Linked DNA regions of Pelodiscus sinensis. The protein of the gene in region 2 purifies or fractionates together with the protein of the main gene of each other region. This does not show direct contact. Links are inferred from orthologs where the notes say so. Each region holds a gene or a part of one and is shown on either strand. Other genes may lie near its edges.

Region 1 (10,196 bases), on a different chromosome or scaffold from region 2:
CGCTAGAGCAATTTTTACCCATTATTCTACTTCCATAGGGTAGCCCAGCCAGCCTCACTCACACAGCAAGTCACTCTGGGTAACTCGATCATGTGGAACAGCGACCTTCGCTCACTTTAGTACTTACCGCTTTACTGCAAAAGGCTCTGCTGGAACGAAGTGTCTCGGCCAAGCCGCTAACACGCACACAGGCTGCCAGCTCTTCCTACCTGGAGCAGTTAGCAGCGCCAAGACCCTTTGCGGAATAAAAACTTACATCAAACTTCTGCCGAACTGAAGAAAACTTCTTCTTTCCTTTGGGCTTTCCAGGTTTAGTCGCAGAGCCCCCTGTCCATGGCAGAGGCCCAGGGCCCTCTGAAAATAGGAGAGAAGGGGAAGTGTGTGTGGGGCGGGGGGAGGTCACTCCAATTTGGAGTCAATATAATTAAGTTCATGCAACTCAAAAATCAGACGAAACCACACAGTTCTGACACCTCTGAAGAGCACGTCCACCCTTTCCAACTGGAATGCACGTACCCTTTCTACTATACACTCTCACCTACTACCACCATGTAGCTGAGCAATATTCTATTACTTCAGAGGGAAGTTATCTGAACTATACTGTGCTTTTTTCGCAGACAGCTACACCAGTTGAAGAGGGAGTGGAAGCCAGACCCAAGGTGTCAAGTGGGCTGAAGAAAGAAGAGCAGACATACTGACAGCCTTGGGGATTGGAAGCAGGCACCTTCTTTGGAAAACCCCCTCTCTGAACAGACAACACCCGAGAGAAGCAGCACAAAGGGACCAATGGACACAGACCCAGATTTTGAATCTGGGATATATTTGCATAAAAGAAGGAAGCTGCTATAAAAGTGAGGTGTCTTGCAGAGGGCCCCGGGTTTCGTCTTGTCACCATCGGAGCATTGATCCGGATCGGCAGAAGCCCGGCTCCACCCCTCCCCCATCTAACTCACCTGGCCAGTGAAGTTAAGGGGAGCAACTTGTTGGTAACAAGAGCAAGACGGAGTGTGCTTGTGTGTGTGTGTGTGTGCGCGCGCGCACGCATGAGTGACATATCTCATATGCATATGATAAGTATTGATTATTCTACGTGAGATCAATAAATGTGGCGTGTTGCCTTATCCCTCTGAAAACGATCCCGAGTACTTCTTTTAAGTACAAATTGTACCGTCTGTATGTTGTATCGACTACACGATGAGTTGATAGGGAAGGTGCTCCTGCTGCGGCTCTGCAGTTTAAATGTAAGAGCTGGGCTGCCTGCCCGCCCCTTACTATATTTCAACTGCAGAGCAGTGGTGGGGGTAGGTCCCGGACCCAGTATGAACCGGGACTGGGTCGGGCTTGCTTAGTCCTGGCTTGCACTGGGTCCAGTAGCCCATGTCCACAGCAGCGGCGCAATAGAGGCAGCAGCGGCAAGGGGGGGGCCAGCTGGCACTGCGGAGACGGTACTGGGGGGGAACAGGGGGAACCAATCCATTGTGGAGCTAGCCAGTTTCTAGCCTTGTGAGCAAAGGCAACAAGTGGAGAAAGAGGAAAGCGCTGCTTCTCTCCAGGCTTGTGAGATTTCCCAGCGCACATTCTACATCAGCAAGAGTAGAAAGGGAAAGACAGGTATTATGAGAGATGAGCCTTCAAGGATGCGTTTCAGAAAAGAACCCACCCGTACTAAATGCTTATTTCTTTGCTTTTCAGTATTTTAGTCTCTTGGCCAGAAGACAGACACAGGGTTAGGAGAATCTCTGAGCATCATCTTCCGTTTTCCATTGTTGCTTTATTCCTTTCTCCACCCCCCCTCACCCTCTTTCTTTGGAGACAAATGGAACATGGTCAGACTGGCCCTTGAATCAAAACAGATTACCAACTCGGATATAATTCATAGTGTGAGGTGTAGACGAATACAGGTCCAAGGCTTTGTCAGCCCAAGAGCACTGAAAAAGAACTTGGTCTCTATAAAAGGTGGGATTAGTGAAACACTTCAGGAGGCAGCCCCTCAGAATGGGAAAGCAAAAAGGCAGCTAACTTTTCTGAAGTCTCCCCGGGAACAAAAACACTGAAACAAGCAATTTCCACAAGCTTAGTACTCTCAGGTGTCTAACACAAACCTCCCCTGAAATCACCAACATGAAACCCAACGTGAGCGGCTCTAGTGTGATTTTTATTGAAAAGAGACTTTGTGTGATGCCTTGTCTGACGAGGACTTCACAGAACCCATTGCTGTAAGATCCAAGTGCTCCCGACTTTTTATGGATTTATCCTCACTTCACTCCTGGGAGGTGACATTATAATTGTTCTCAGCAGGAGGTGCTGAGTGCTCCAAGCCCTTACTGAAAATCTGGCCAGACATTTAGGTGTCTGACCAGGAGCCAAGCTCCCCGACCGCCAGAGCTGTGCCGCTCCTGGGAATGGAACCAGAACAGCCCAATCCCAGGCACTGCCGTGACCCGTTGGAAAGGATGGTCAGTCTGCCGTACACGCTGTCCAGATTTATTCAGAGGTTTGGTTACAAAACAAATCACATGCAGTGTATTTGCTGCAGCCAACCCAATGCAAAAAAAAAAATCAAGTGAGAAGCAGCAAAGGTTACATGGACAGATTTTGGTACCTGATTAGCCAGGTTACAGTGTACTATACAGTCAGCATAAATGATACAGCTGGCTCCGCACAAGACCCTAACATACTAGTCCCTGAACCTCATAGCAGTCTCAAATTCATGCTCTAATTCGCAGTTTGAAACACTCTCTCTTAAGAGGCCTTCTGGCTAATTTTCTGGCCCAGCCTTCCAAGATACATTCTGATATCAGCAACACTGAAACTCGCAAGACACCACAAACAGGTGCAGCACCACACATAATGTGATAGCAGCTGCAAGGGCTTACCAGAAGAATGTTCAAGTCACTGGCGACATTTTAATTAAAAACTTCACAACCAACTGCTTCCCACCCTCCCCTCTATTCTGAAGGCAAGACAGGAGGAAAAAAAATGTCTCTAAGTGCTGCCTCCCTCCCTGGCTCAGTTCCCATTGGTCTGACACAAGGCCCGGTTTCTTTTAGAGCCTGCCGCCATTCTCACAGATCGCTGGAGAACATGGAGCAAAACCTCAGCCCTACAGAGCACCGTGCCTTGTCGAACTCACAGCCAAAGCAACAGGAGACAAGAAATCAAACCTGGGTCCCCTTCTTGGAATTGCAGGGCACTAGTCTGTAGTTAAGCGTGTGAAATGCTCGTTTTGTAACGAAGATGATCATATTTATTCCACAGTCGTAACTAAAAGCGGCAATCAGGGTTCTCAGTGTCATACGGCACGCAAGCCATAGCAAGGGAGAGCATGCAATTTGAGAGCACATAAGTCACAGCATATAGCTTAAAAACAAAGCCCACCACAAACGCGTCCCAAAGGTATGCCATATGATCTTTTGTTCACTTACCTGGTGCAGAAACCAAGATTTGGCACCGGGTGAGAATGGCCAGGAGGAAATCATTGTGAGAATGGACTGTGAAAAGAAAGACCATTGACTCACAGAGATACCAGGAGAGAAAATGGTATTTGAAGACTGAGACTCACATTAGCAAAATGGCAGACACAATCCAAAAGCAGCTACTTAAAGCTACCCCATCAAGTGATTGTGTTTACACTTCCCACAACCATGTTTTCCCATTTGTTCCCCTGGTTGAGGACACCCCCAGTTAATTTATTAGACAAACTTTTTTGCCTCTATATGAAATTAGGAGCCATAAAGGGAAGATTCTCATCTCAACAGTAGCTATGTGGCCCAAGAGGCAGTATGTTCCAGAGGAGCAGACGGAGTTGTGGAGTCACACTTCACGTGGCTGCATTGTTCTGTAGCAAACAGCGACTAACCCAGAATTTGGTATTCTGGGGAAATCTGAGATGCAGAGAAAAAGGAGCTCTCCCAGGGGACTGTCTCTTACCATTGTCTTGGGTGAGGAGTCTGCGAGCTTCCAGATCAAACTCTTCTTTACTGATCTTTTGCTTGAACCAAAGTTTCAAGTTTGCCCAGTATCTGTGCATAGGAGAGAAAACATTATGCCCCGTAAAGAACACTGTTTTGCCTACTAAAGCTATTTCTTGCTTCCCATTTCTTAAATGGACAGTCATGTAGTTCAAGTCCAACATGTAGCTTTTTTTTATATATTTCAGAAAAATCTAATATGAAGCAGTGTTTTAATATAACGTCCGTTCCTCCCTAGTTCCCACCCAGCCGTAAATGCCAAAAAACAGTTAACTTCCAATAGCAGCTAGTGCCAGATGTTTCAAAGGGAACAAAGCAGAAAAATTTTCAAGTAAATCATCCCCCATCTTCCAGCCCTGACTGTTGGCAGTCAGAAGTTTATGGACACCCAGATGACCTTGGCTAATAGCCACGGATAAATGGATCCTCCAGGAACTTCTGTGGTTTCTTATGAACCCTGTTAAAATGTTGGCCTTCACAACATTCCCTGGCAACGAGCCTCACCAGCTGTCTATGCACTGTGTGAAGTCCTGCTCCCTGATGGCTGTTTTCAACCTAGTGCCCATTAATTGCACTGGGTGATCTGTACTGCTTGCGTTCCAGAAAGCAGTAACTGAACTCCCCAGTCGATTTCTCCATCACTCATGATTTGCGAGACCTCTGCACATCTTGAGACGGACCCTGCGGGCCGGGATTTGCCACCCGCCCCGGGGGGGGGGGGCGCGAGGCCGGTGTCACGGTGCGCACGTGCGAGCCCGGGGGGAGCCCGTTACCCACCCCCCGAGCATGACGGGTCCGCCGCCGCTCGGCTCCCGCGCGCTGCCCCCAGGCCGGGCCGAGGCGGGAGACGAGCCGGGGGGGCAGAGGGGGGACAGGCCCGCGGGCCGGGGGGCGCAGGCCCGCGGGCCGGGGGGTCAGGGGGGGCAGGCCCGCGGGCCGGGGGGCGCAGACCCGCGGGCCGGAGGGCGCAGGGGGGGGCAGGCCCGCGGGCCGGGGGGGGCCGGGCCACACTCACTGCTTCACGTTCTCGCCCAGCGCCTCGCTCAGGTTCTTCTTGGCCGCCTCCAGCTCGCTCACGTAGGTCGCCATGGCTCCCTCCGCGCCGCTCTGCGTCAACGGGTGCGCGTGCGTGCCGCGTCACTTCCGCCGCCTGCGTAGTCCTGGGTTTCGCAGCGCCCGGCCGCGCCGCTTCTTCCGGTCACGTGGTGTCCCGCCGTCGCTGGGCTGGGGGTGGGGATCACGCGTTGCCCTGCTCGTTGAACGGACCCGTCTGCCCCGCCCCCGTCTCCCGATTGGCCAGGCCGAGCCCCGCCCCCGGCCTGGCCCCGCCCCGAGGCGCTGTGTGAGGCGCAGCCCGCGCGCTCCCCAGACGCCGCCATGCCCGGGCTGCTGCTGGGAGACCTGGCCCCCGACTTCGAGGCGGACACCACGCACGGGCGCGTGCGCTTCCACGAGTTCCTGGGCGGCTCGTGAGTGCGGCGGGGGGGGGGGGGTCTGGTCTCTCACAGCGCCCACAGGGTTACCGGGCGGGGGGGTCGGTCTGTGCGGGGGGGGGGGTCTGGTCTCTCACAGGGTTACCGGGCGGGGGGGTCGGTCTGTGCGGGGGGGGGGGGTCTGGTCTCTCACAGCGCCCACAGGGTTACCGGGCGGGGGGGTCGGTCTGTGCGGGGGGGGTCTGGTCTCTCACAGGGTTACCGAGCCGGGGGGGTCGGTCTGTGCGGGGGGGGTCTGGTCTCTCACAGCGCCCACGGGGTTACCGGGCGGGGGGGTCGGTCTGTGCGGGGGGGGTCTGGTCTCTCACAGCGCCCACAGGGTTACCGGGCGGGGGGGGTCGGTCTGTGCGGGGGGGGGGGGGTCTGGTCTCTCACAGCGCCCACGGGGTTACCGGGCGGGGGGGTCGGTCTGTGCGGGGGGGGGGGGTCTGGTCTCTCACAGCGCCCACAGGGTTACCGGGCGGGGGGGTCGGTCTGTGCGGGGGGGGGTCTGGTCTCTCACAGCGCCCACAGGGTTACCGGGCGGGGGGGTCGGTCTGTGCGGGGGGGGGGGGTCTGGTCTCTCACAGCGCCCACAGGGTTACCGGGCGGGGGGGTCGGTCTGTGCGGGGGGGGGTCTGGTCTCTCACAGCGCCCACAGGGTTACCGGGCGGGGGGGTTGGTCTGTGCGGGGGGGGGGGTCTGGTCTCTCACAGCGCCCACGGGGTTACCGGGCGGGGGGGTCGGTCTGTGCGGGGGGGGGGGGCTGGTCTCTCACAGCGCCCATGGGGTTACCGGGCGGGGGGGTCGGTCTGTGCGGGGGGGGGTCTGGTCTCTCACAGCGCCCATGGGGTTACCGAGCCGGGGGGGTCGGTCTGTGCGGGGGGGGTCTGGTCTCTCACAGCGCCCACGGGGTTACCGGGCGGGGGGGGGGGTCTGGTCTCAGCACCCACAGGGTTACCGGGCGGGGGGGGGGGGGGGTCGGTCTGTGCGGGGGGGGGGGTCTGGTCTCTCACAGCACCCACAGGGTTACCGAGCCGGGGGGGTCGGTCTGTGCGGGGGGGGTCTGGTCTCTCACAGCGCCCACGGGGTTACCGGGCGGGGGGGGGGTCTGGTCTCAGCACCCACAGGGTTACCGGGCGGGGGGGGGGGGGGGTCGGTCTGTGCGGGGGGGGGGTCTGGTCTCTCACAGCGCCCACAGGGTTACCGGGCGGGGGGGGGGTCGGTCTGTGCGGGGGGGGGTCTGGTCTCTCACAGCGCCCATGGGGTTACCGAGCCGGGGGGGTCGGTCTGTGCGGGGGGGGTCTGGTCTCTCACAGCGCCCATGGGGTTACCGAGCCGGGGGGGTCGGTCTGTGCGGGGGGGGTCTGGTCTCTCACAGCGCCCATGGGGTTACCGAGCCGGGGGGGTCGGTCTGTGCGGGGGGGGTCTGGTCTCTCACAGCGCCCATGGGGTTACCGGGCGGGGGGGTTGGTCTGTGCGGGGGGGGGGGGGGTCTGGTCTCAGCGCCCACGGGGTTACCGGGCGGGGGGGGGGGGGTCGGTCTCTCACAGCGCCCACAGGGTTACCGGGCCAGGTTGGGCTGCGGGACTGGGAGGGGAGGGACGCGCTGGCGGGGTGCCCCCTGCGTGGGGGGCAGGGCCGTGGCTGACTGCGGGGTAGCTGGGGCCCGACTTTGCCCCAGCGCGGACACACCGCTTTCTACCTGCCTCCGGGAAGACGGGGAGCCCCACCTGCGGCCCCGCTACCGAGGGGAGGTGGGCGGGTGGGGAGGGCTCTGGGTACCGGACACTTAACCATGGAAGAACCATATTACTGATTCAACACCCCCCAGCCGTGCCTGTTCTCTGCCTCTTCCTCCCTGCCCCGGCCTTGTCTGCACCCAAAGGGCCACGCCTGCAGGTGGGCTATGGAAGCCCGGTCCTCACTCAGGCTATTGCCACTGGGACCCTCAGCACCAGCCCAAAGCCCACACAGCCCGCGCCCAGTTCTGCTCTTGTGGAGACCAGCCTTGCTCTGAGTCAGAGGTCTCCTTCCCACTAGCACCCGGGGCCTGGCAGGTCACTCTTTCTGCACAGCCTGTTCCTTGTGTTTGTGGGGTAGGTAAATTTGTCACATCGCATATGAGTCCGGTTCTTCTCAGTCACTGTTACACTGACCATGCTGGGGCGGGGAGGAGGTTTCCGTGCTTGACTTGGACTTTCTCCAAAGCTCAACTGGCCAGAGGGCTGATGCCTCAGGCTTGAGAGAAGTTTACAAGCGTCTCCTGATGAGCAACCCTTCCAAAACACAGTCTACCGAGAGATCGGGGTGGGCAGGGAAGCGTGGTGGTGTCTCTGGGGGTTGTGCTCAGCCCAGCTAATTTGCACCACTGCAGCCCATGCTGGCAGCTGCACTGCAATTTCAGTTTGCAGTGCAAGGATGTATGTGTGTCAGGAATCACAGCTCTAGCTTGTAATGTAGACACAGGCCTAGTGACCTAATTTTATTAGTATCCGAGGGGTAGCTGTGTTAGTCTGAATCTGCAAAAGCAACAAGGAGTCCTGTGGCACCTTAGAGACTAACAGATGAATTGTAGCACAAGCTTTCATGGGCAAAGACCCACTTCATCAGATGCATCTGAGGAAGTGGGTCTTTGCCCACGAAAGCTTATGCTCCATTTCATCTGTTAGTCTATAAGGTGCCACAGGACTCCTCGTCGCTAATTTTATTAGGGATGAGAAGGGTTAACTGGTGGGCTGGAGCAACTGCCCGTTGGGGGAGGGGTCTGCATTAACCCTGCCGTGCCCACCCCCATTTAATTGGTTAAGCAGGATTTACACCCCTAAATTCTACTACACACAAAAACATTTGGAATTGTCATTACTCAAAGGAAGGAGTCGTCTCCCTTACCTGTTCATGTTGAAAGTCACACAGGAGTGAGTTATCGATTGTTTCCTCTTAGGCAAAGAGGTTATCTGTGGTGAAAACAAGACCCAAATAAGAACTTTCCCAAGTATGTGTAAGAACACAAGGAAACACATCACGTTTACCCCCCAAAAAGGAGGCACAGTGGCTTGGGAATAAATAGGTGTTGAACTGGCAAGAAATGGTGTTCTGCCCACAAGCCCCGCGGTAGGCACCAGGAGTGAAATGCCCCTTTCCAATAGGATTGTGCTCCTTTTTCACACTGCTCCATCTGTGGAGAAATACTTAACAATGCCGGTCTCTTGTAAATGTTGGCCTTCACCCTTAAACGCATGCATGTCTTCCTCGCTGATTTCAGGCACTTGTCTTTGAAGAGAAGTTGCATCACTATTTCAGGGGCGCTCAAACTTTGTGATACTGCAACCCCCTCCCCCCCCCAAGTTGCTCGCAACCCCCTGGGGATTGGGACCCATGGTTTGAGAAACGTGGCTCTAATTAAACTAGTGCAACCCCCCCCCTTCTTCCCCTCCTCCCCCCAAATAAGAACACTTAAATAGACTTTGGCTTGGATAATTCAGCATATTGCAACTTTGGGGTCTAGCGAAGCTCTGGAGCACAGGTTACTCTATCAGCTCACATTACATTCATAGTCATTTTAATCCTGGGGATAAGCAAAGCTTTTGTTCGGACAGACGCCAGAAAAATGTGACCCCCCCCCCCTCCCCCTCAAACTGTGACATGCTGCACCTGTCCAGTTTAAAACATTCTGAATAAGCTACCCTCTGACGTAACAGACTGAAGGCAGCCGTTCCCAAAGAAGAGGGAGTGTTTGGCCCTCCAGCCAGACTCTGCCACTTGAGACCCCAAAAGAGCAGCCAGTTCCTCCTTTCACAACTACACTGTTAACGACTTACATGCTTCCGCACGTCCCTAGAGCCCACATTGCCGGAACACCCAGCACCCGCCCTGAACTCGTATCTGAGGATAGCACTTTCTAGCCTCAGCCAGCCAGTGTGGGGTGTGTCATTTCTGGCCCTGTGTAAGCAGGCTCTAAGGTTTCATGTTGAATTGCAGGGTTTTGTTATTCAATATGAGATTAGACTGTGGCTCTTGATAACAAAGCTGCCCTTTTATACGCCCTTTCGCCAAGGGGAAGTAGAAAGACTGTTCACTTTCAGACTCTGCAGGGAGGCGCCTTAGCCCCCCAAGTAACGTGACTGGGACTCTGCCGTGGCAGTGGGTTCCAGTGCCCTTTGTCCAGTGTCTGTTCATCTGCCAGGCTAGTAACCGTCATGTGAAATGCGTTTTACAGGAGAGGGGATGACACAGCAGTTCTGGGCAAGATGTGGGAAGGTGGCAGTTTGCCCAGATCAGCTGGTGGTATCAACATAAGGAGCTCCGGGGCTGGAGGCAGTGCGTGTGCCTGGTGTCAGGTGGTCTGGGCTACGAGAGGGGAGCACGTGGGAGATCTAGAAGTGGGGATAGTAAAATCCTGAAATCTTCCCTCTGGGGCAGGGAGCCATCATGAGCCTTGGTCTGAGCTGAGAACCCCGTGATCACGGCCGGCACTGGCCGAGTGCTGCGCTCTGGTAGCGTCCGATGGCAGCACGAGCCCCAGCCCCGCAGAAGGGGATGGGTTAGGCATGGTCTGGGCTCACGGATCCACGGGAGAGCAGCCTGTCGCCGGAGTGCCCGAGGCGTGCTGCTCGAGAGCCAGCCTGGCTCTGCGCGGCTCCGGCAGCAAAGGGGGGGCCTGGGGGCAGTCACGGGAATTGCTTCTAATTGCGTGTTGCTCCCCTGCTGCCTTTTGAAAATGGACACGTCTAAAGGAGCCGAAGTTGGCAGA
Region 2 (10,251 bases):
GGGCTGGCTGCATCAGTCCCCCCCACAGTGCCACTCAGCTGGGAAGCGAGGCTTTTGGGATGGCTCCCTGCTGCAGACAGGCTCCAGGGGAGACCAGCAAGGGCTAAGGGCAGAGAATCAGCTGCACCCCGGCGGAACCTGCCGCTTGTGGGCCCCTTGGCCTGGGATCCAGGCCCCGATAGCTCAGCGGAGGCCTCCCTCTGCTGCAGGCGCAGTGTTAGCTCTAGGCATGGGGCGGGCGGCGTGGGAGGAGGCCGTGGGGGGCTGCAGGGCGAGGCAACCAGCAGAGAGGGAGGTGCCTGGCTGCAGAGGTCAGCGGGAGGTGGGGGGAAGAGCCCCGCGCTGCAGTAGGTTGGGGCAGAGAGGGAGGGAAACCCCCCCCACGCCAGGCACAGCGCAAGGAGCTGTACGGATATTCCCTGGGGGCTGCTGCCCTGTCAACTTCCCCGTCAGCCCCAGGGGGCAGCAGAGCAACCTGCAGCAGCAAAGAGAGACCAGCCCCCCGCCTCCTGCCCCCTGCCCCGCAGGCTCCATCCGCAGTGTCCGGGGCTGGGTGGGTTCCCCCCCCGCCCGATTCAACCCTCAGCATGCGAGGAGCCAGGCCCAGCCCTTCCAGCAGCGCAGCATCTGCCTCCCAGCCCAGCCCAGATGCCAGGCCATGCGAGGGATTAGCAGGGGCTCTGAGCCAGCTCCCCATGTGGTTCGGCTTTGCCCCCGGCCCCCATTGATCTGGGAAGACGAGTCCCACTCGGGACCAGTGGGCGGGCGTTGCCCGGGCTGCTCCCTGCAGGTTGGATTCCCGGCCGTCCTGGCACCCACAGGCTTTGATGCCACGGGGGGGCATGAGATGTGGGCAGACCCAGGTCTTGGTTATAGAAACAATGAGGAGCGGGCCCTGAGTGTTCCTGCTCAGGGGTCCCAGCGGGCTGGCCCCATCTGCTCACACTCGCCACCCGGAGGCGCTGACCCAGCCAGGGGAGGCTGGCTGGCTGGCTCCTCTGCCGGGGTGCAGCCCCCCACATTAGGTCTGGAATCTGGATCTATGTGATATTCCCACTCGCCCCCCCCCCCCCCATTGCTCTGTGGCAACTTTATAGCAATTTGGTTCCCTCCTGGAACAGGACTTTCACATTTTAGCATCACTGCATCCAAAATCATCTACCCCCCCCCGAGAAATGTGCCCCCCCCGCAGGCTGATGAGAAGCCCCTGGACTTTAGTGGAGATGCTGGGGGGTTGTTGGCAGCAGCCCCAGTGTTTTGCAACAGGGATTGACCCTGAATTGGCTGGGGGTGGGTCAGATGGGACCCTACAGAACCCAGCCCCCCACCCCCCAAGCCCAAGGATCAGGACCCTACTCACTGTGCTGAGCTGTCGCCGCAGCCAGAAGCGCCCAGGCTGCCACCAAGTACCAGCTTGTCTGCATCTCCCAACCTGCCCCGCGCTCCCTGGGACCCCTCCGCGAAGGCAGAAAGAAGCCAAGCACCCCGGCCACCCTGTATAAGAAGGAGGCCTCATTTGCCTAGCCCCGCCCCTTTCCTGGCATGACCTCATGAAAATCTCATCCCCCCTCCCTCCAGCAGTGGGGTGTGTGGGTGATGGCCAGTCACAAGTTTGTGTTTCGAGCACAATGGGGCCGCATGAGTTGTGCCTTCCAGACAGACCCTGGAATTTCAGTGGGGAAGAACAGAGGCCGGTTTCCGCTCTGAGAAGAAAGGGCCTAATTACCACGGAGCTGCAGGAGGGACGCAGAACCCATGATACGACCTCACTGCTGGGTTGGGGGGCGAAAGGACAAGCCACTTCGATGCTGAGCAAAGCAGGTGCCACTTAGCACTTGGCAGGCCGGAGCTTCTAGCCACCCTCTCCCCAGGCAGGAGACAGGAGAGGTGCAGCACACGGAAAACTGACCAAGGGAGCTCACTGCTGCAAGATACTGAAACCAAGCACTTAGCAGCTGTAAACAAAGAAAGAAGCGGATGGGTATACAGTCCGGTTGTATGTATGATGTTAGCCCGGCTGAGAACAGGGCCCCACTGTACCAGATGCTGTACAAGAGACAGCTGCCACACACACACCCCCAAAAGAGTTTACAATTGAAATAGACCAAGTAGGCACACGAAGGAAACTTTCCATTGACTTCAGCGGGGGTTGGATCAGACCCATAAACCCACAGGGCTCTCAACATGATCCAGTCTCTTGTTCGTAGGGGCAAGGCAGAAATGTCTTTTGTGAGCAGCCAATTCCATAGTTGTCAACTTCCTGCTTTTCCACCTGAAATAGCAGAGACCGGATAGGTAGATTCCTCCACCATAGGTCCTATCCAGTGTTTGCAGGTCACATGTAGCTCCTTGATGGCCCGAGACAGCCTTCCGACAGCAGGAGTGGAGCAAAAAAGCTAACTAGTTTGATCAAATTGGAGATGCCTTCCAGTGGAACATTCTATAACACGAGTGACTTAGACCCGGTGAACATACAGACTTCACCTGATTAATTTAAGGGGTGATTTAAAGCCAGTCCAATTAAACCCATGCAACTTTGTCTGTGGACACTCTTGAAACTGGATTTAAACCCACCTTATAAAGTGTTTCCTTTTTTTTTCTGTTATAGAATCATAGAACACTAGAACTTATGAATTCTGAGTTTCTGTTATCCCTCTCCAGCTCATCTGATGAAGTGGGTTTTGCCCACAAAAGCTAATGAAACTATGTATATTTTGTTAATCTCTAAGGCCATGTCTAGACATTGGCGCTATTTCGGGATACTGGAAGTGTCCCAAAATAGCTATTCTGAGTCTTTAAACGCGCCCGTTATTTCGAAATAACGGTCATGCTATTCTCATTCCACGAGGGTTAAGGGACTTGTCGGAGTAACGCTTTATTTCAAAATTTGGCGATCTGTAGTTGGTGCCAAATTTCAAAATAAGCTATTTTGAAATTACCTCGAAATAAATTATGCCCTTTCAAGGTATGGGTGCAGTGTAGACACACCCTAAGGTGCCACAGGATTATTCATTGTTTTTAATATTAAAGACTAACATGGCTACCCCTCTGCCACCTTCTAGTGGTTTAGCATGTGTCTGTGTTTGTAGATGTGAGCTACGCTGATCGACCGTGTAGTAAATCACTAACTGAGATGCATACGGAGTGGGAGGGGGAGGTGGCTGGTGTTACTAAATCCACTCTCAAACCACTGTATATGAAACCGGTGCAACTCCTGCGTGCTCGGTTAGCTTGTGAATGGGAAGGAAAGACAAGCTGGATTACCTGGCTCTGTGGGGTGCCAGTAGTAGAACAAGGGCATGTAAATCAAGGGACCCCTGATTTTCCAGGTTTTGTTCAGGACAGGCCTGGCTTAGAGCGATTGCTGTGAATCACTACGTTCCAATCAAAATGGCATTGCTCATTGCAACCTGGGGCGATCCAGTAATTGACAAGGGGCTAACGGGACGTTGACTAGCCTATTTTCCTCCCATACAGAGCACCATGAGTAGAGCTGGCAGCACCGCAGGGAGCTGGGGCGTGGCGAATGGCCCCCAAAGGAGGAGTTGGGAACAGTGGCATCAAGCTGTTGTGGGATTTTCTGTGGTTCCCTGAAGCAAGGCACAGGAGACAGCTGCATGAGAGGCACAGCTGCATGTGCTGTCACCCTGTTTGCACAGGAAGCTGCTGCCTGCTCCCACCTCGGTTCAAAGGAACCGGAACTTTGTACCCATCATAAACAGACAAGCCACACTAAGGAGATACCTGACAGCATCACCCATGGCTGCTCCAGACCAGAAACTGACCTGGAAGGCCCCAGAATCTGCTACTGCTCAGCAAAAGGGGCAGCAGAACGAATGCCAAATCCTGTTCTGAAGCCCAGTAAGCTCTTGGCTGTGGCAAGACCATGCAGCAGTGAGTTCCGCACGTTAATTATGTGCGGTGCAAAGGATATTAGTAGCACCGGGGAGGGAATTTGTTTTCTAGATGTATCATTCTCACTCTGTCTGTGTCCCTTAAATAAAAGGAACAAACTGGGAGAGAGAATTCCCAGGAGTTATTGGAATTTAGAAGCCAAACTTCCAATGATTTTAATGGGAGTTAAGTGCCTAAATTCCTTTGCAGATCTGGGCCCATGTGTTCAGGATATTAGCCTGCTAAGAAAGTGATTGCTGCATCGCTTCCCCCCCAAACACTAGACATATCAGCAAAATCCTGTTTAATAAACCCATGTTTCCCTTGTGCCCTTATGTTTACCACTTTTATTAGCCCTTGACAAATTTTGTGCAAAATATGCCTTGTGAGTGATCATCTGAAAATCCATAATTCACTGATCATTATTGTCCTGTTAAAATAGGTGTGGCCACATTGTATGTAAAGTTATAAGATTCCATTGGATGATGTTACTACGGGTGTATTTCCAATCGGGGAAGAAGCACAAATAAATTCTTCAGTAAGTAAAAGGCAAACTGATGCTTCTGCCAGGAGTCAGCAAAACCAACTGGACTGTTCCCTGGTTAGGCAGCCCTTCTTTAGCAAGAAGGGTGCGAACAAGAAATTCACGGCTTGACAGAGGAACAGGCTGGCTGACACTTGAACCCCAGCTGGGGATGATTCTCAAAGAGGAGGAAAATGGGGAACAGAGGCCCCACCCCGATCACATCTTTCTCTTCATCTGTACTGGGGGTTTCAACAATATTTCAAAGACAAAGGAAGTGTCGGTGAACTGGAGAGGGGTCCTGGTGGAAGGAATCCAGCCAGACTGCTGTTAAAATATGGTGACAGAAATCCAGCTGCTCTTAGTTCACCTAACTAAGTAAAGTATTAGTTTGTGTTTTATCATTTATTTCTTTGTAACCAATTCTGACTTTCATGCCTTATTCCTTTGTCATCACTTCAAATCGATCTTCCTGTAGTTAATACGTGGGTTTGATTGTTTACCTAAACCCCTGTGTTTGGACTGAAGTGGTCAGGAATTTCCATTTGAGATAACCAGGGTTCGTGCATAGCTCCATAATGATGGACTTTCTCGGAGCGTGTACTGCACAGAGGGGGAGAGCTGGGCAGGCACCTGGAACTGGTGAACCTGGAACCCTTTGGTGAGGAGACCCTGGGCTCAGGGAAATGAAGAGAGCCCATTCAAACAATAAACCTGCCTCACACCAGCAACCCCCTGGGTGCCCGTTCAGGAGCTGAGCCCCGGCAGGCAGCAAGCGCAGCGTATCACCAAGACACACATGAGCTCATCACTCCGAATAGCACGCAGGCTCACAAAGTGTAGGACAAAACAAGTTCCCCAGGAACTCCGCGGCCTCCCACGGCCGGCTCTTTTGTCTGCCCGATTGAAGTTCCCAGAGCAGGTGCTTCTAGGCCCTGCTCAAGTCAGGAGCATCTCACCAACCAGCGGCACAGCTTTGTCGTGCTGCCCTGCTCAGTACGGCTCTGGCAGGCCAGGCAAGGGGGTCACGTGGCTGGCTGGCTGCTAGGGTTGAAAATCCCACTGCAGAGGAGGCCGTGGGTGCAGAACCTCCAAGGAAGCTTGGAGCCTCCATGCTTTTCAGGAGCTGGCTCATAGTGGTTTCAAAGGAAGCTGAAAGTCCTGGTTCCCAGCGAGGTCCTCAGGGCAGAACCCAGCCCTGGCTTCCTAGGCAGTGTAGAAACAGGGTCCCGAGCCGGGGCACGTGAACTGAAATAATAAAGGAATCGATGGGAATCCAACCCTTGGAGTCCCCTTCATAGAGACCCAGCCAGAGCCTCTGCAGGAGGGACAGGAGAGAGGACAAGTCCCCTGGGAGGGGGGGCACATGGAGTTAAATAATGGGGGAGTCTCCTTAGGGGAGGGGCACAGGGTGCATCCCCCTAGACACAGCTCAGGGGGCTCAAGGAATCCAGCAGGGGAACTGGGGAAATCACCCCAATAATACACGGAGCTGGGAGCAGCCTTTGGCCTGGCTCCCTCACTGACACCCATGGGGGGGTCCTAGGGCTTAGGGGCACCCTGGCTCCGGCCGCCCCTACAAGCGGGGAGGGCTGCTCCTGCCTCCGGGCCTGTCCCTTTAAGGAGACTCCCGCGTCGCCTCCAGCGCGCTCCTCCCCTCCCTCCGGGCGCCAGCCAATGGCGCGGCGGGTGGGGCGGGGCGAGTGGAACGCGGGAAGCAGCCGGGCCGGGGGTTACATTGTAGCCAGTTGGGGGGTGGGCTGGTAACCGCCGGGGGACGCGGAACGCGCTGCCGGGCCCGATCCCCGGCACCCGGGCCCGATCCGGGGCCGGCCCCATGGAGAACTTCCAGAAGGTGGAGAAGATCGGCGAGGGCACCTACGGGGTTGTCTACAAGGCCAAGAACAAAGCCACGGGCGAGGTGGTGGCGCTGAAGAAGATCCGCCTGGATACGTGAGTCCCCCCCCGCGAAGGGGCCGTACCCCCCCCCACCCGTTCATGGGGTAGCTCCAGCTTTGGGGGGAGGAGTCGGCACCTCCCCGGCCGGCTCGGGGCCTTCTGCAGGACACCGCCCCGGGGGAAGTGCGGTGCCCCGGGGCCTGCAGATCTGGCGGAGAAAGCCCCCCCCCCCCCCGGTCCTTGCGGGACGGGCTGTCAGTGGGCACTTGGCTTGAGTCCACGTGCAGCCAAGGTGGGGCGGTCTGAGCACTAGGACTGGGCATGGGCGTTACAAGTAGGGGTGCGGGGCTGCTGCAGCGCTCCCCCCCCCCACTTAAAGTGGTTTCCGTTATATCCAGGCGTTACAGTTGGGGTCAGAGGTTCTCAGCGCCCCCCCCCCCCATAAAACTTGTTCCAGCCCTGCTGGTGTTGGGGGGGGGGCACCCCATACCCTCTCCATGGGAGCGCTGGAGGCTTCCCAGCAATTCCCAGCTCCTGTTCTCCCTGGGCTAAGTCCACCCAGCTGAACCCGTGGGGTGATGGGTGCAGCAGGAATTGCATCCCTCCACCATTTCTACAGCCCCATTTCTGGTGAGTGGGGGAGTTCTGCCCCATACTCTTCACTGGTGCCCTGACAAAGGTCACGGGGCGGGGGGGAGAGACTCAGACCCACACTCCTTAGGCTTTGCCTGTAGCTGTGCTTAACAGCCATTCTCAGAATTAAGTCTGAATCTGGGGCTGGTGTCCACCCTACAAGGGGTGTGGGTCTCTTGGTGAGGTTCGGAGATGCCAGGGGCATGATGAATGGATTGGAAAACCCGCCTTGGAGGGACAGACTCAGGGAGGTCCGAGCGTTTAGCCTCACAAGGAGCAGGGTAAGCAGTCACCGGCCTAGTCAACAGGTTGGACCGCGAGCCAAGTCCAGGCCACCAGGTGTTTCTGAATAGGCCACAAAATCTTTGTCTTTACTTATTCGTTATTTATTGCTGGAAGACTTACCTGGTGCTGCTCAGGTCCTAATTATTGTGCTTGTCCCTCGTCCGGGGCAGATCCAGGTTTGTCTGCCCCCTGCGCCCCCTAGCCAGAGTGAGGAATGCAGCAAATGGTGCATTTTCCCCTTGCTACCTGATGAAGAGGAACAGCCAGCAATGTTCCCGTACGAATTGTGTGGGGGGGGGGAGTTCCCTTCCTAAAGGGTACCTGGGGGGTGGGAGGCGAGAGGCTCAGGGCTGGGGCAGTCCCATGGGGGGCAACCCCTTTCCCCTGCCTGGTGGCTGACTTTTTTGTACGGTTTTCTGAGAAGCAGTCCCATTCCAGACACATCCCATTTCCCTGGCACAACCCCTGACCTGGCTTTAAGTTATGATAAGAGGAAGCTGCCTACTGACCTTGGTGGTCCTAGCTCTCAGCATTTAGGAGGAGTCCTTGAACAGACAGACTCTCAAACTCTCTCAATACATCGCTGTGTGAAAAAGGGTTCCCTGGAGCCTGGGCCTTGACTGCCCTTGGTCTAAGAGCCCCTACCTGGGGAATCAGAATTTGGCCACTGCCTTGTCAGTCTTGCGGACAAAGGTCTAAGAGATGCAGTGGCAGGAAGTTGGAGGTCGAGTTGGTCTGGGAAATAAAGCCCACGTTTGTAACAACGAGGGTCATTCGCCACTGGAACGAGCGCCCAAGGGTTGTGGCAGATGCTCTGTCACTGGCCGTTGTTCGGTCAATGGGGTTGGGCCTGGCTGTATCCCAGGCCAGGGCTGCTCTGCTGCATGTTGCAGCTGGTGCCCTGTCCAGCAGCTGGTGCTCTGGCCCCTGGCGTGAGCACGTCAGTTTCTTTCTGGGAGTGGATGGGCAGCGCTCAGGGCAGTGCCTTTGGAGAGCCCTGGGCTCCCAGGTTCCGACCCAGACAGCTGGTTTGGTCCAGATGTGATTGGGGCAGGAGTCCAAGCAGGGCCTTGTTGGCTCTGGACCGATGTTAAGGATCCCGAGGGGGAGCAGAAGTTGCTTCCCTGTGTCCTAAGCTGCCCCCTCTCTTCGCTGTTGCTTCTACCCCAGAGGTGGCTGAGTTTCCATGGTGGTACATCGGGGTAAAGGGCTTTTGGCTTGTCACTGCTGCCCTCAGTTGGCACTTGTGTGGGCTGCAGGGCAGGTCTGAGCTGGGACAGAGTCGTTAGGCTGCCTGGTGTGAGGTCACTAGAGCGGGGCCGAATGGAGCCCCAGAATGGAGCTTGTCAGGCTCCTCATGGCTTCCCCCCCCACTGCAGAGAGACGGAGGGTGTCCCCAGCACGGCCATCCGGGAGATCTCCCTGCTCAAGGAGCTGAACCACACCAACATCGTCAAGTAAGTGGGGGAGGGCGTGTTATTGACATCTCAGGAGGGTGGCTGGGCTGCTGGGATCCAGAGCCCTCATCCCCCCGGGAGGGGGGGGAGGGAGCACCCAGATCCGTGACTTTCATGTGGCCGTCATCTGTGAGACATGGCTGGTCTTGGCCCGGCTCCCCAGCACGCAAGCTTGTCACGCTGGTGCTGCCCACTTCCATGGTTGGCAGCCCCAGCAGAGGCCGAGAGGGGCATGGGGCACAGAGTGCGAATGCCCCCAGCCCTCTAATCAGGGCAGAAGCCGTGACGTCTTCTCCTTCCTCTCACCAGGCTGCTGGACGTGATCCACACCGAGAACAAGCTCTACCTGGTCTTCGAGTTCCTGCACCAGGACCTGAAGAAATTCATGGACTCGTCCTCCGTCAGCGGCATCCCTCTGCCCCTCATCAAGGTAACCAGCCTGGCCGGCACGCTGCTCACACCCCCTACCCCCGCGAGCCCAGTTCTCCTCTGACCTCCAGCCCTGTCTGCCTCCTGCTGCAGAGTTACCTCTTCCAGCTACTGCAGGGCCTGGCCTTCTGCCACTCCCACCGGGTGCTGCACCGCGACCTCAAGCCCCAGAACCTGCTCATCAATGCCGAGGGAGCCATCAAGCTGGCGGACTTCGGGCTGGCGCGGGCATTCGGCGTGCCAGTGCGGACCTACACCCACGAGGTGCATTGGAGGGCTCCTCTCCCCTCCACCCATCTGCTGGGATCCGGGGGCTAGGCAGTGAGATGGGGGCCACCTCTCTGGGGTAGGTGCCTCTTGATGGGGCGGAGTATCCCTGTCCTCCCTGCACCAGGACCCCCCACTCCTGCTGAGAACGGCTGGCTGATCCCGCCTCCTGCGGCATGTATGTGATGGGACTGGGTGATCATGGCCGGCCCATGCTGGTTCCCCCAGGGCTGAACCTGGCAGCCATGCCACCACAGGGCCTAGGGAGCAGGAGAGATCTGGCTGCTTCCCTTGGGCATGCACCAGGCTCCCAGGTCCAGGACCTCTCGCCCTGCCACTTTGTTCCGGGGTCGGAGTCCTGCCGGGGTTGGAGTGTGTAACGGTTACAGCACAAGGCCGGGAGCTCAGACTCCTGGGTTCTGTTCCCCACTCCCCCAGAAATTCGCTTTCTCCTTGGGTGAGCGGCCTGTCCCGTGCCTTGGTTTCCCCATTTGCCGAATGGGGGTTATGGCGTCTTCCGATTGTGAGTAAAGCCCTCTGGGGTCCGTGGAGCGGAAAGGGGGATCGATGCCCCTGTCACAATTAACAAGGATCTCCCCTTTCCTCCCCTTCACCAGGTGGTGACTCTCTGGTACAGGGCCCCTGAAATCCTGCTCGGCTGCAAGTACTACTCAACGGCTGTGGATATCTGGAGCCTGGGCTGCATCTTTGCCGAGATGGTATGTCCTCCCCCTGTCCCTCCCGTGCACACACGTGGTTCTTCTTGACCTGCAGAAAGGGAGGGACCTGGGGGCCAGGTGCTGCTCCCCCATTGGGTGGAGGAGCCAAACGAGCATGACTCCTATGTTGAGAGCCTGATCCTGC
Region 3 (10,556 bases), on a different chromosome or scaffold from region 2:
ATGTGGACAAAGCTGGCAACGGGGTTTGTTGCAAGGGAAAGTACCAGGGTTGGTATTAGTGTGGTATGTCCTGTGGTGGTTGGTAAGAATCATCTTGAGGTTAGGTGGTTGTCTATAGGAGACTATGGGTCTGTCTCCCAGAGCCTCTTGGAGTATGGTATCCTGTTCCAGTATAGGCTGTAGTTGGGGGGTCAGTGACTGAGGTATTGGTTGGGGTGTCGGTGATGGGGTGTCGGTAGGGGGGTCAGTGACTGAGGTATTGGTTGGGGTGTCGGTGACGGGGTGTCGGTTGGGGGGTCAGTGACTGAGGTATTGGTTGGGGTGTCGGTGACGGGGGTGTCGGTTGGGGGGTCAGTGACTGAGGTATTGGTTGGGGTGTCGGTGACGGGGTGTCGGTTGGGGGGGTCAGTGACTGAGGTATTGGTTGGGGTGTCGGTGACGGGGTGTCGGTTGGGGGGTCAGTGACTGAGGTATTGGTTGGGGTGTCGGTGACGGGGGTGTCGGTTGGGGGGGGTCAGTGACTGAGGTATTGGTTGGGGTGTCGGTGACGGGGTGTCGGTTGGGGGGGTCAGTGACTGAGGTATTGGTTGGGGTGTCGGTGACGGGGTGTCGGTTGGGGGGGTCAGTGACTGAGATATTGGTTGGGGTGTCGGTGACGGGGTGTCGGTTGGGGGGGTCAGTGACTGATGTATTGGTTGGGGTGTCGGTGACGGGGTATCGGTTGGGGGGGTCAGTGACTGAGGTATTGGTGGGGTGTCGGTGACGGGGTGTCGGTTGGGGGGGGTCAGTGACTGAGGTATTGGTTGGGGTGTCGGTGACGGGGTGTCGGTAGGGGGGTCAGTGACTGAGGTATTGGTGGGGTGTCGGTGACGGGGTGTCGGTTGGGGGGGTCAGTGACTGAGGTATTGGTTGGGGTGTCGGTGACGGGGTGTCGGTTGGGGGGTCAGTGACTGAGGTATTGGTTGGGGTGTCGGTGACGGGGGTGTCGGTTGGGGGGGCAGTGACTGAGGTATTGGTTGGGGTGTCGGTGACGGGGGTGTCGGTTGGGGGGGTCAGTGACTGAGGTATTGGTTGGGGTGTCGGTGACGGGGTGTCGGTTGGGGGGGTCAGTGACTGAGGTATTGGTTGGGGTGTCGGTGACGGGGTGTCGGTTGGGGGGGTCAGTGACTGAGATATTGGTTGGGGTGTCGGTGACGGGGTGTCGGTTGGGGGGGTCAGTGACTGATGTATTGGTTGGGGTGTCGGTGACGGGGTATCGGTTGGGGGGGTCAGTGACTGAGGTATTGGTGGGGTGTCGGTGACGGGGTGTCGGTTGGGGGGGGTCAGTGACTGAAGTATTGGTTGGGGTGTCGGTGACGGGGTGTCGGTAGGGGGGTCAGTGACTGAGGTATTGGTGGGGTGTCGGTGACGGGGTGTCGGTTGGGGGGGTCAGTGACTGAGGTATTGGTTGGGGTGTCGGTGACGGGGTGTCGGTTGGGGGGTCAGTGACTGAGGTATTGGTTGGGGTGTCGGTGACGGGGTGTCGGTTGGGGGGGGCAGTGACTGAGGTATTGGTTGGGGTGTCGGTGACGGGGTGTCGGTAGGGGGGTCAGTGACTGAGGTATTGGTTGGGGTGTCGGTGAGGGGGTGTCGGTTGGGGGGTGTCAGTGACTGAGGTATTGGTTGGGGTGTCGGTGACGGGGTGTCGGTAGGGGGGTCAGTGACTGAGGTATTGGTTGGGGTGTCGGTGACGGGGTGTCGGTTGGGGGGGGTCAGTGACTGAGGTATTGGTTGGGGATTCGGTGACGGGGTGTCGGTAGGGGGGTCAGTGACTGAGGTATTGGTGGGGTGTCGGTGACGGGGTGTCGGTAGGGGGGTCAGTGACTGAGGTATTGGTTGGGGTGTCGGTGACGGGGGTGTCGGTTGGGGGGGTCAGTGACTGAGGTATTGGTTGGGGTGTCGGTGACGGGGTGTCGGTTGGGGGGTCAGTGACTGAGGTATTGGTTGGGGTGTCGGTGACGGGGGTGTCGGTTGGGGGGGCAGTGACTGAGGTATTGGTTGGGGTGTCGGTGACGGGGTGTCAGTTGGGGGGGTCAGTGACTGAGGTATTGGTTGGGGTGTCGGTGACGGGGTGTCGGTTGGGGGGGGCAGTGACTGAGGTATTGGTTGGGGTGTCGGTGACGGGGGTGTCGGTAGGGGGGTCAGTGACTGAGGTATTGGTTGGGGTGTCGGTGACGGGGTGTCGGTAGGGGGGTCAGTGACTGAGGTATTGCTTGGGGTGTCGGTGAGGGGGTGTCGGTTGGGGGGGGTCAGTGACTGAGGTATTGGTTGGAGTGTCGGTGACGGGGTGTCGGTTGGGGGGGTCAGTGACTGAGGTATTGGTTGGGGTGTCGGTGACGGGGTGTCGGTTGGGGGGGGTCAGTGACTGAGGTATTGGTTGGGGTGTCGGTGACGGGGTGTCGGTTGGGGGGTCAGTGACTGAGGTATTGGTTGGGGTGTCGGTGACGGGGTGTCGGTTGGGGGGGCAGTGACTGAGGTATTGGTTGGGATGTCGGTGACGGGGTGTCGGTTGGGGGGGTCAGTGACTGAGGTATTGGTTGGGGTGTCGGTGACGGGGTGTCGGTTGGGGGGGTCAGTGACTGAGGTATTGGTTGGGGTGTCGGTGACGGGGTGTCGGTTGGGGGGTCCGTGACTGAGGTATTGGTTGGCGTGTCGGTGACGGGGTGTCGGTTGGGGGGTCAGTGACTGAGGTATTGGTTGGGGTGTCGGTGACGGGGGTGTCGGTGGGGGGGGCAGTGACTGAGGTATTGGTTGGGGTGTCGGTGACGGGGTGTCGGTTGGGGGGTCAGTGACTGAGGTATTGGTTGGGGTGTCGGTGACGGGGTGTCGGTTGGGGGGGGCAGTGACTGAGGTATTGGTTGGGGTGTCGGTGACGGGGTGTCGGTTGGGGGGGGCAGTGACTGAGGTATTGGTTGGGGTGTCGGTGACGGGGGTGTCGGTAGGGGGGTCAGTGACTGAGGTATTGGTTGGGGTGTCGGTGACGGGGTGTCGGTTGGGGGGGTCAGTGACTGAGGTATTGGTTGGAGTGTCGGTGACGGGGTGTCGGTTGGGGGGGGTCAGTGACTGAGGTATTGGTTGGGGTGTCGGTGACGGGGTGTCGGTTGGGGGGGCAGTGACTGAGGTATTGGTTGGGATGTCGGTGACGGGGTGTCGGTTGGGGGGGTCAGTGACTGAGGTATTGGTTGGGGTGTCGGTGACGGGGTGTCGGTTGGGGGGGTCAGTGACTGAGGTATTGGTTGGGGTGTCGGTGACGGGGTGTCAGTTGGGGGGTCAGTGACTGAGGTATTGGTTGGGGTGTCGGTGACGGGGTGTCGGTTGGGGGTCCGTGACTGAGGTATTGGTTGGCGTGTCGGTGACGGGGTGTCGGTTGGGGGGTCAGTGACTGAGGTATTGGTTGGGGTGTCGGTGACGGGGGTGTCGGTGGGGGGGGCAGTGACTGAGGTATTGGTTGGGGTGTCGGTGACGGGGTGTCGGTTGGGGGGTCAGTGACTGAGGTATTGGTTGGGGTGTCGGTGACGGGGTGTCGGTTGGGGGGGTCAGTGACTGAGGTATTGGTTGGGGTGTCGGTTGGGGGGTCAGTGACTGAGGTATTGGTTGGGGTGTCGGTGACGGGGTGTCGGTTGGGGGGTCAGTGACTGAGGTATTGGTTGGGGTGTCGGTGACGGGGTGTCGGTTGGGGGGTCAGTGACTGAGGTATTGGTTGGGGTGTCGGTGACGGGGTGTCGGTTGGGGGGTCAGTGACTGAGGTATTGGTTGGGGTGTCGGTTGGGGGGGTCAGTGACTGAGGTATTGGTTGGGTGTCGGTGACGGGGTGTCGGTAGGGGGGTCAGTGACTGAGGTATTGGTTGGGGTGTCGGTGACGGGGTGTCGGTTGGGGGGGTCAGTGACTGAGGTATTGGTTGGGGTGTCGGTGACGGGGTGTCGGTTGGGGGGGTCAGTGACTGAGGTATTGGTTGGGGTGTCGGTGACGGGGTGTCAGTTGGGGGGTCAGTGACTGAGGTATTGGTTGGGGTGTCGGTGACGGGGTGTCGGTTGGGGGGTCCGTGACTGAGGTATTGGTTGGCGTGTCGGTGACGGGGTGTCGGTTGGGGGGTCAGTGACTGAGGTATTGGTTGGGGTGTCGGTGACGGGGGTGTCGGTGGGGGGGGCAGTGACTGAGGTATTGGTTGGGGTGTCGGTGACGGGGTGTCGGTTGGGGGGTCAGTGACTGAGGTATTGGTTGGGGTGTCGGTGACGGGGTGTCGGTTGGGGGGGGCAGTGACTGAGGTATTGGTTGGGGTGTCGGTGACGGGGTGTCGGTTGGGGGGGGCAGTGACTGAGGTATTGGTTGGGGTGTCGGTGACGGGGGTGTCGGTAGGGGGGTCAGTGACTGAGGTATTGGTTGGGGTGTCGGTGACGGGGTGTCGGTTGGGGGGGTCAGTGACTGAGGTATTGGTTGGAGTGTCGGTGACGGGGTGTCGGTTGGGGGGGGTCAGTGACTGAGGTATTGGTTGGGGTGTCGGTGACGGGGTGTCGGTTGGGGGGTCAGTGACTGAGGTATTGGTTGGGGTGTCGGTGACGGGGTGTCGGTTGGGGGGGCAGTGACTGAGGTATTGGTTGGGATGTCGGTGACGGGGTGTCGGTTGGGGGGGTCAGTGACTGAGGTATTGGTTGGGGTGTCGGTGACGGGGTGTCGGTTGGGGGGGTCAGTGACTGAGGTATTGGTTGGGGTGTCGGTGACGGGGTGTCAGTTGGGGGGTCAGTGACTGAGGTATTGGTTGGGGTGTCGGTGACGGGGTGTCGGTTGGGGGTCCGTGACTGAGGTATTGGTTGGCGTGTCGGTGACGGGGTGTCGGTTGGGGGGTCAGTGACTGAGGTATTGGTTGGGGTGTCGGTGACGGGGGTGTCGGTGGGGGGGGCAGTGACTGAGGTATTGGTTGGGGTGTCGGTGACGGGGTGTCGGTTGGGGGGTCAGTGACTGAGGTATTGGTTGGGGTGTCGGTGACGGGGTGTCGGTTGGGGGGGTCAGTGACTGAGGTATTGGTTGGGGTGTCGGTTGGGGGGTCAGTGACTGAGGTATTGGTTGGGGTGTCGGTGACGGGGTGTCGGTTGGGGGGTCAGTGACTGAGGTATTGGTTGGGGTGTCGGTGACGGGGTGTCGGTTGGGGGGTCAGTGACTGAGGTATTGGTTGGGGTGTCGGTGACGGGGTGTCGGTTGGGGGGTCAGTGACTGAGGTATTGGTTGGGGTGTCGGTGACGGGGTGTCGGTTGGGGGGTCAGTGACTGAGGTATTGGTTGGGGTGTCGGTTGGGGGGGTCAGTGACTGAGGTATTGGTTGGGTGTCGGTGACGGGGTGTCGGTTGGGGGGGTCAGTGACTGAGGTATTGGTTGGGGTGTCGGTGACGGGGTGTCGGTTGGGGGGTCAGTGACTGAGGTATTGGTTGGGGTGTCGGTGACGGGGTGTCGGTTGGGGGGGGGGAGTCAGTGACTTTCCCGCCTTCCGAAGGCAGCGGCGGCTCCGGCCGCCTTGCCCCGCCCCCGCGCTGAGACAGGCGGAAGCCGCGGCCACTGAGCGGGGCGGGTGTGGGCGGAGCCAGCGGGGCCCGCCCCCGGCCGGCCTGGTGGGCACGAGCGAGCGCGCCTGCGCGGCGGCGGTGGAGCCGGGTCGATGCTGAGCCGGAGCCAGAGCGAGGCCGGGGCGGGCGGCGTCGCCAAGCGGGCGCGGCCCGGCAGCCCCCCCGATGGGCTCCGCACCCCCGAGAAGCGGGCCCCGGCCTGGGCCCCCCCCGCGCTCCCGCCCGGGCCCCCCCCGCGCCGCTGGGACACCGAGCAGGTCTGCGACTTCCTCTGCCGCAGCGGCTTCGGCGAGCCCGGCCTGCTGCGCCGCGTGCGAGGTACCGGGGTCTGCGAGCCGGGGCGAGCTCCTCCGGGGGGGCTGCCCGCCCCGCCGCCGCGCTGGGGGGAGGAGCCGCGGGCGAGCGCCGGGCTGGGCTCTGCGCCCCCCCCCCCCCGGGCATGCCGCCTGCTCCCCCCCCGGCTCCCTGCTCCCTCCGGGCATGCCCCGGCTCCCTGCGGCCCCCCCCGGCTCCCTGCAGCCCCCCCCCCGGGCATGCCGCCTGCTCCCCCCCGGCTCCCTGCGGCCCCCCCCGGCTCCCTGCAGCCCCCCCCCCGGGCATGCCGCCTCCTCCCCGGCTCCCTGCGCCTCCCCCCCCCCCGGGCATGCCGCCTGCTCCCCCCCCGGCTCCCTGCGGCCCCCCCCGGCTCCCTGCAGCCCCCCCCCCGGGCATGCCGCCTCCTCCCCGGCTCCCTGCGCCTCCCCCCCCCCCCCCCGGGCATGCCGCCTCCTCCCCGGCTCCCTGCGCCTCCCCCCCCCCCCCCCGGGCATGCCGCCTGCTCCCCCCCGGCTCCCTGCAGCCCCCTCCTCCGGGCATGCCGCCTGCTCCCCCCCCCCCCGTCCTGCAGAGGCAGCGGCTTCCCGGGGCAGGGGAGCCCATAGCATGGGTCAGGGGGACTCTTGTGCAGTTCGGATCCGCACTGGCGTGCAGCCGGGGGCACTAGACTTGCCACTGGCCCGGGCCGAGTCCGCACCCCGCCGTTGGAAGGCGCAGGAGCGCTCTGGAGTATGAACGGGGGAGTGCGGAAGTGCCCGTGACTAGTGGGTGGACGTGCCATTGACCGCTCAACTAGTCAATTAACATCCTGAGTCTGCAGAGCTCCCGCTCACCCGCTTCATTTCCTTTGCCTCCTCAGGATCTAATTCCTCTCCAAGAAACATGTTGCATTAAAACAGGGGTGTCCAAACTTTTTTCAAAGAGGGCCAGATTTGATGAAGTAAACATGCGTGAGGGCCGACCATTTTGCCTGACATTCTTTGAACCATTAAAATTAAACACAAATTAACTATCTTATGCAAAGTTTATTGCAAACAGTATACTTTTCATTTCGTCACATGGATGACAAATCTTAACAGGTGTTAAATCACTCTGCCTTTCATATCTGAAGGCCAGATGGGAAAAAAATCCAAGAAGCTGAAATGTCAGGAACATTGTAAAGTACATTACATATTATTGGTAATAAAGGTTGTCTGTCAACTTTGAAGTTAAAAAAAATATGAACAGGAACATAACACCAAGTATACATGTTGTGTCCAAATAGATTTATAACTGATTTAGACCAACTGACATTAACTGAGATTTTACAATGTATTCATCTCAATACATATGGATTCGTTGGGGGCCGTAAAAGATAGATATTGCCAAATTACCTGTGGGGCCATATTAAACCGGAACACAGGCCGCAATTGGCCCGCGGGCCGGACTTTGGACATGCCTGCATTAAAACAACCAATATACAATGAGTGGTTGGGGGGGCAGTTGAGGAAAGGTGATAGTTAATTACATATTTTTGGAAAGCAAAAACAATATATGTACAGGGTGTTTTTTGTTTGCCCACTTAAATCAGTAGTGGGCAAAGTATGGCCTGTTGAACCCTTCAATCTGCCCCCCAAGCTCCTCTAGGCAGGCTGGGTCAGAGCTGCCTTGGAAGGAGGTGCCAAACCGACTATTGGGCAGTGCAGCAAGCTTGTGGGGGCTTATGCCTTCCCTTCTGCCACCCATCCCTCAAAGCCTCAGCTCCCCTAGTGCCTGGGCCGCATGGTTGCCACTCCACCAGCCCTGATGGTCTGGGTGGCATGGCTGCAGTTCTGGACATCTGTAGTGCTCCGGGTGGTGCAGTCACATGGTGGGAAGGAGGGGAGGTTGGATAAGGGTCTAAAATTGAAGTAAGCTAAAATGAAGTGGTAAAGATAACAGTGCTAAAATACTTCTATATGAAATATTTCAGCAACTTAAATACGTAGGGGAAAGCCTAGACATAAAAGTTATTCCTTTCACTCCTCAGAAAATCAGATAACCGGAGCAGTGTTGCCTTACCTCACTAAATCTGAACTTAAAGACTTAGGAGTTGGGTAAGAACAACTTTTACTAAATTTTTTAGAGTGGTTCCTGTGTGAGAAATTTTGGTGATTTAGTAACTTGGGACTTGCTGTTTCTTCAAGTGTCCAAGGCTTTGCCTATGTCTTAAATAAAAACAAGTCGTGAATGTGGTGGTATAAAGCAATGTTTCTCAACCTTTTTTTTTTTTTTTTTTTTTTTTTTTATAAAGTACCCCTTTTAAAAAAAAAAATTTGTAAGTACCCCCCAGTACCTACAGGTTTTCAGACACACAATTTTTTTCTACTATTGCAACACATTTGTTTAAACAGCTTAATCGTAGCCAGGCGGGCAATTACTTTTTTGGGTATAAAAAGTACAAAAATAATAAAGCACTGTAAAACTTAAAACAAAAATTCAGTTTTGTCCAAGTTACAGTTGTGTTGATGTAGCCCCCCCCCAGACTTCTCTCAAGTACCCCTAAGGGGTACTCGTACCACTGGTTGAGAAACATGGGTATAAAGGATCTGTTGGTACTGACCTTCACTGAAACTAACCAAACTTTAATAATACATCTTGGGAAAGACAAGTCGTCATCACTTGATTGACTGCAAATGTTGTCCTTGATTTCTGTGGCATGATATTTTAGTATGTTGTCTTTGTTAGCTCACCTCTTTTTTGCTATTGTGTAATTTCAGCTATTCATGTCAAGGCTGACAACCTGTTATAAGTGAAACACCTTGATATGTTTGGAGAGATGTGTGAAAGGGTGTATTTTGTAAAAAACGACTTGATCAAAAATAGGAGCTGTAATTATTTGAAAAGAGATATATAAGCCAGTTGTTTAAACAGAGCTAAAAACTGAGGATTAGGGATGTAAAATCCAGTTTAACTGGTTAACGGGTTAAATGTATTGTTTAATCAGGTCCCTGATTAAAGGGGAGGTGGGCAGGGGGTGCCGCTCCAGCCAGTTTGGGCTATAGCAAACCCCCGTGTCTCATGCAGGGGCTGCCCCTGATGGCAGAATATGTAACTTTCCGAACTATTAGAAAAGAGATGTCAAAACCATTTACAGGGAAGAGAGGTTAACTAAGCACAAGGGAGGTAACTAGAGCATAATTTGGATTGTTAATCTGTAGTTGCATATATATTATCAAGAGTTGTGGATGCTGGTGTATTTCACGTGTATGGTTCAGTGCAGAGGTGCTGCCCTGGAGAATTGGATTCTATTCCTGAACTGCCACACAGTCCCTGTGTGATGCTAATCAGTTCAGTTTAACTTTTACAGGTGGTCACGCTGCACTCATTTTCTGTGGACTGTAATTTTCAGGTTTTTTCCTTGCTCAGTTCATGGCTCCAGGCTTTATTTACTGTGTACTCTTAAATCTTAGTCTCAAGATGGAATTATTAACTTCCCAATGGGCTTTTCTCTGGTGCTTATCTCTACATTATCTGCCTTATGCGCAAATACTGATTTTCACAACACACTTCTGAGGTGAAGAGTTGGTCTTATAGAGATGGGGGCAGAGAAATTAAAGTCAAAACTGTCCACTAATTTTGAGTGTCGAACTTGAGATACTTAAGACCTGATTTTTCAGAGAACTAGGAATTAGTATGTTCAACGCTTAACTCTCAGTGACTGCAGTTTCAGTTGTGCTCAGCACTTACGCAAATCACACCCACAGGTCTAGGAATAAATGGTCAGCATTCAGAATGGAGACAAGTAAATGGCTGTGTCTGTCCGGGGTCTGTTCTGGGACCAGTCCTGTTCGACATGTTTATTCATCAGTGATCTTGAAAAAGGGGTACACAGTGAGATGGCAAAACTTGCAGTTGATATAAAACTACTCATGATAGTTGAGGCCCTGGCAGACTGTGAAACGCTACAAAAGGATCTTTCAAAGCTAGGTGACTGGGCAAGAAAATGGAAGATGAAATTGAATGTTGATAAATTCAGTATAAAGTACATGGGAAAGTACAATCCCAACTGTACATTTGGGATGTGAACGGGTAATGGATGAACTGGTACTGGGGAAGTTAAAATGTTTGTTTGTGTGAAAATTTCAGCAGTTACACATTTACATGCAGGGAGGAGCTGCCCCTTGCCCCCCCACTCCTTCGCTGCTGCCTTTGTATCAAAGGAAGCTGCACGGGGGGGGGGGGTGAGGGCAAGTGGGAGCCAGTACACGCAAGGATATATCTATCCGTCCTCACTGGAGCAGAGACTAAAACGAGTTCCACTTCAATGTCAATAAAACAGATTCTAGTTCCCAAAGAGAACAGAGGATCATGATCTATTTCTGATCTAAGCCAATTTAACATCTGAAAGTGTAAAATGCCACCCAGTCAGATGGGTATCAGGAATTTCCCGTTTAAAAGAAGGCATGTGGTTTGTGGCTCTGGACATGAGATGCTTATCTCACAACTGTTCCTCGAGCAAGACCATTACCTTGGGAATCTGTATCAAATACGAAAAGTCAACTTTGACTCTTACAAAGACCACAGATTTAATTGGACCAACTCTGGTCTTGACTGCAGCTAGAGCCCAATCAAGAAGCTCTAGTCAATAAGCAATTTGATATAATAGGTCATCCTCAGACTACAGTC

What was found. The genes of interacting proteins can lie anywhere in the genome.
Region 1: the proteins of CDK2 (region 2) and PRDX6 purify together in Homo sapiens (affinity purification with mass spectrometry; 3 studies listed by BioGRID, with this or other methods). This does not show direct contact. The link is inferred for Pelodiscus sinensis from reciprocal best matches to the Homo sapiens genes CDK2 and PRDX6.
Region 3: the proteins of CDK2 (region 2) and SAMHD1 purify together in Homo sapiens (affinity purification with mass spectrometry; 3 studies listed by BioGRID and IntAct, counting the BioPlex papers as one, with this or other methods). This does not show direct contact. The link is inferred for Pelodiscus sinensis from reciprocal best matches to the Homo sapiens genes CDK2 and SAMHD1.

Annotation. Positions count from the first base shown.
Region 1 is NC_134719.1:64,645,599-64,655,794, forward strand, and holds the start of PRDX6 (peroxiredoxin-6), read left to right. Parts: upstream 1-5,280; 5' UTR 5,281-5,348; coding exon 5,349-5,440; intron 5,441-10,196. Other genes in the region: TADA1 (transcriptional adapter 1), read right to left, coding at 257-354, 3,426-3,491, 3,931-4,022, 4,987-5,060. UniProt on the Homo sapiens protein: Thiol-specific peroxidase that catalyzes the reduction of hydrogen peroxide and organic hydroperoxides to water and alcohols, respectively. Can reduce H(2)O(2) and short chain organic, fatty acid, and phospholipid hydroperoxides.
Region 2 is NC_134729.1:4,333,030-4,343,280, reverse strand, and holds the start of CDK2 (cyclin-dependent kinase 2), read left to right. Parts: upstream 1-6,118; 5' UTR 6,119-6,254; coding exon 6,255-6,370; intron 6,371-8,613; coding exon 8,614-8,691; intron 8,692-9,000; coding exon 9,001-9,121; intron 9,122-9,213; coding exon 9,214-9,384; intron 9,385-10,004; coding exon 10,005-10,106; intron 10,107-10,251. Other genes in the region: melanocyte protein PMEL, read right to left, coding at 1,361-1,424. UniProt on the Homo sapiens protein: Serine/threonine-protein kinase involved in the control of the cell cycle; essential for meiosis, but dispensable for mitosis. Phosphorylates CABLES1, CTNNB1, CDK2AP2, ERCC6, NBN, USP37, p53/TP53, NPM1, CDK7, RB1, BRCA2, MYC, NPAT, EZH2.
Region 3 is NC_134728.1:32,936,044-32,946,599, forward strand, and holds the start of SAMHD1 (deoxynucleoside triphosphate triphosphohydrolase SAMHD1), read left to right. Parts: upstream 1-5,640; 5' UTR 5,641-5,686; coding exon 5,687-5,912; intron 5,913-7,917; coding exon 7,918-7,984; intron 7,985-10,556.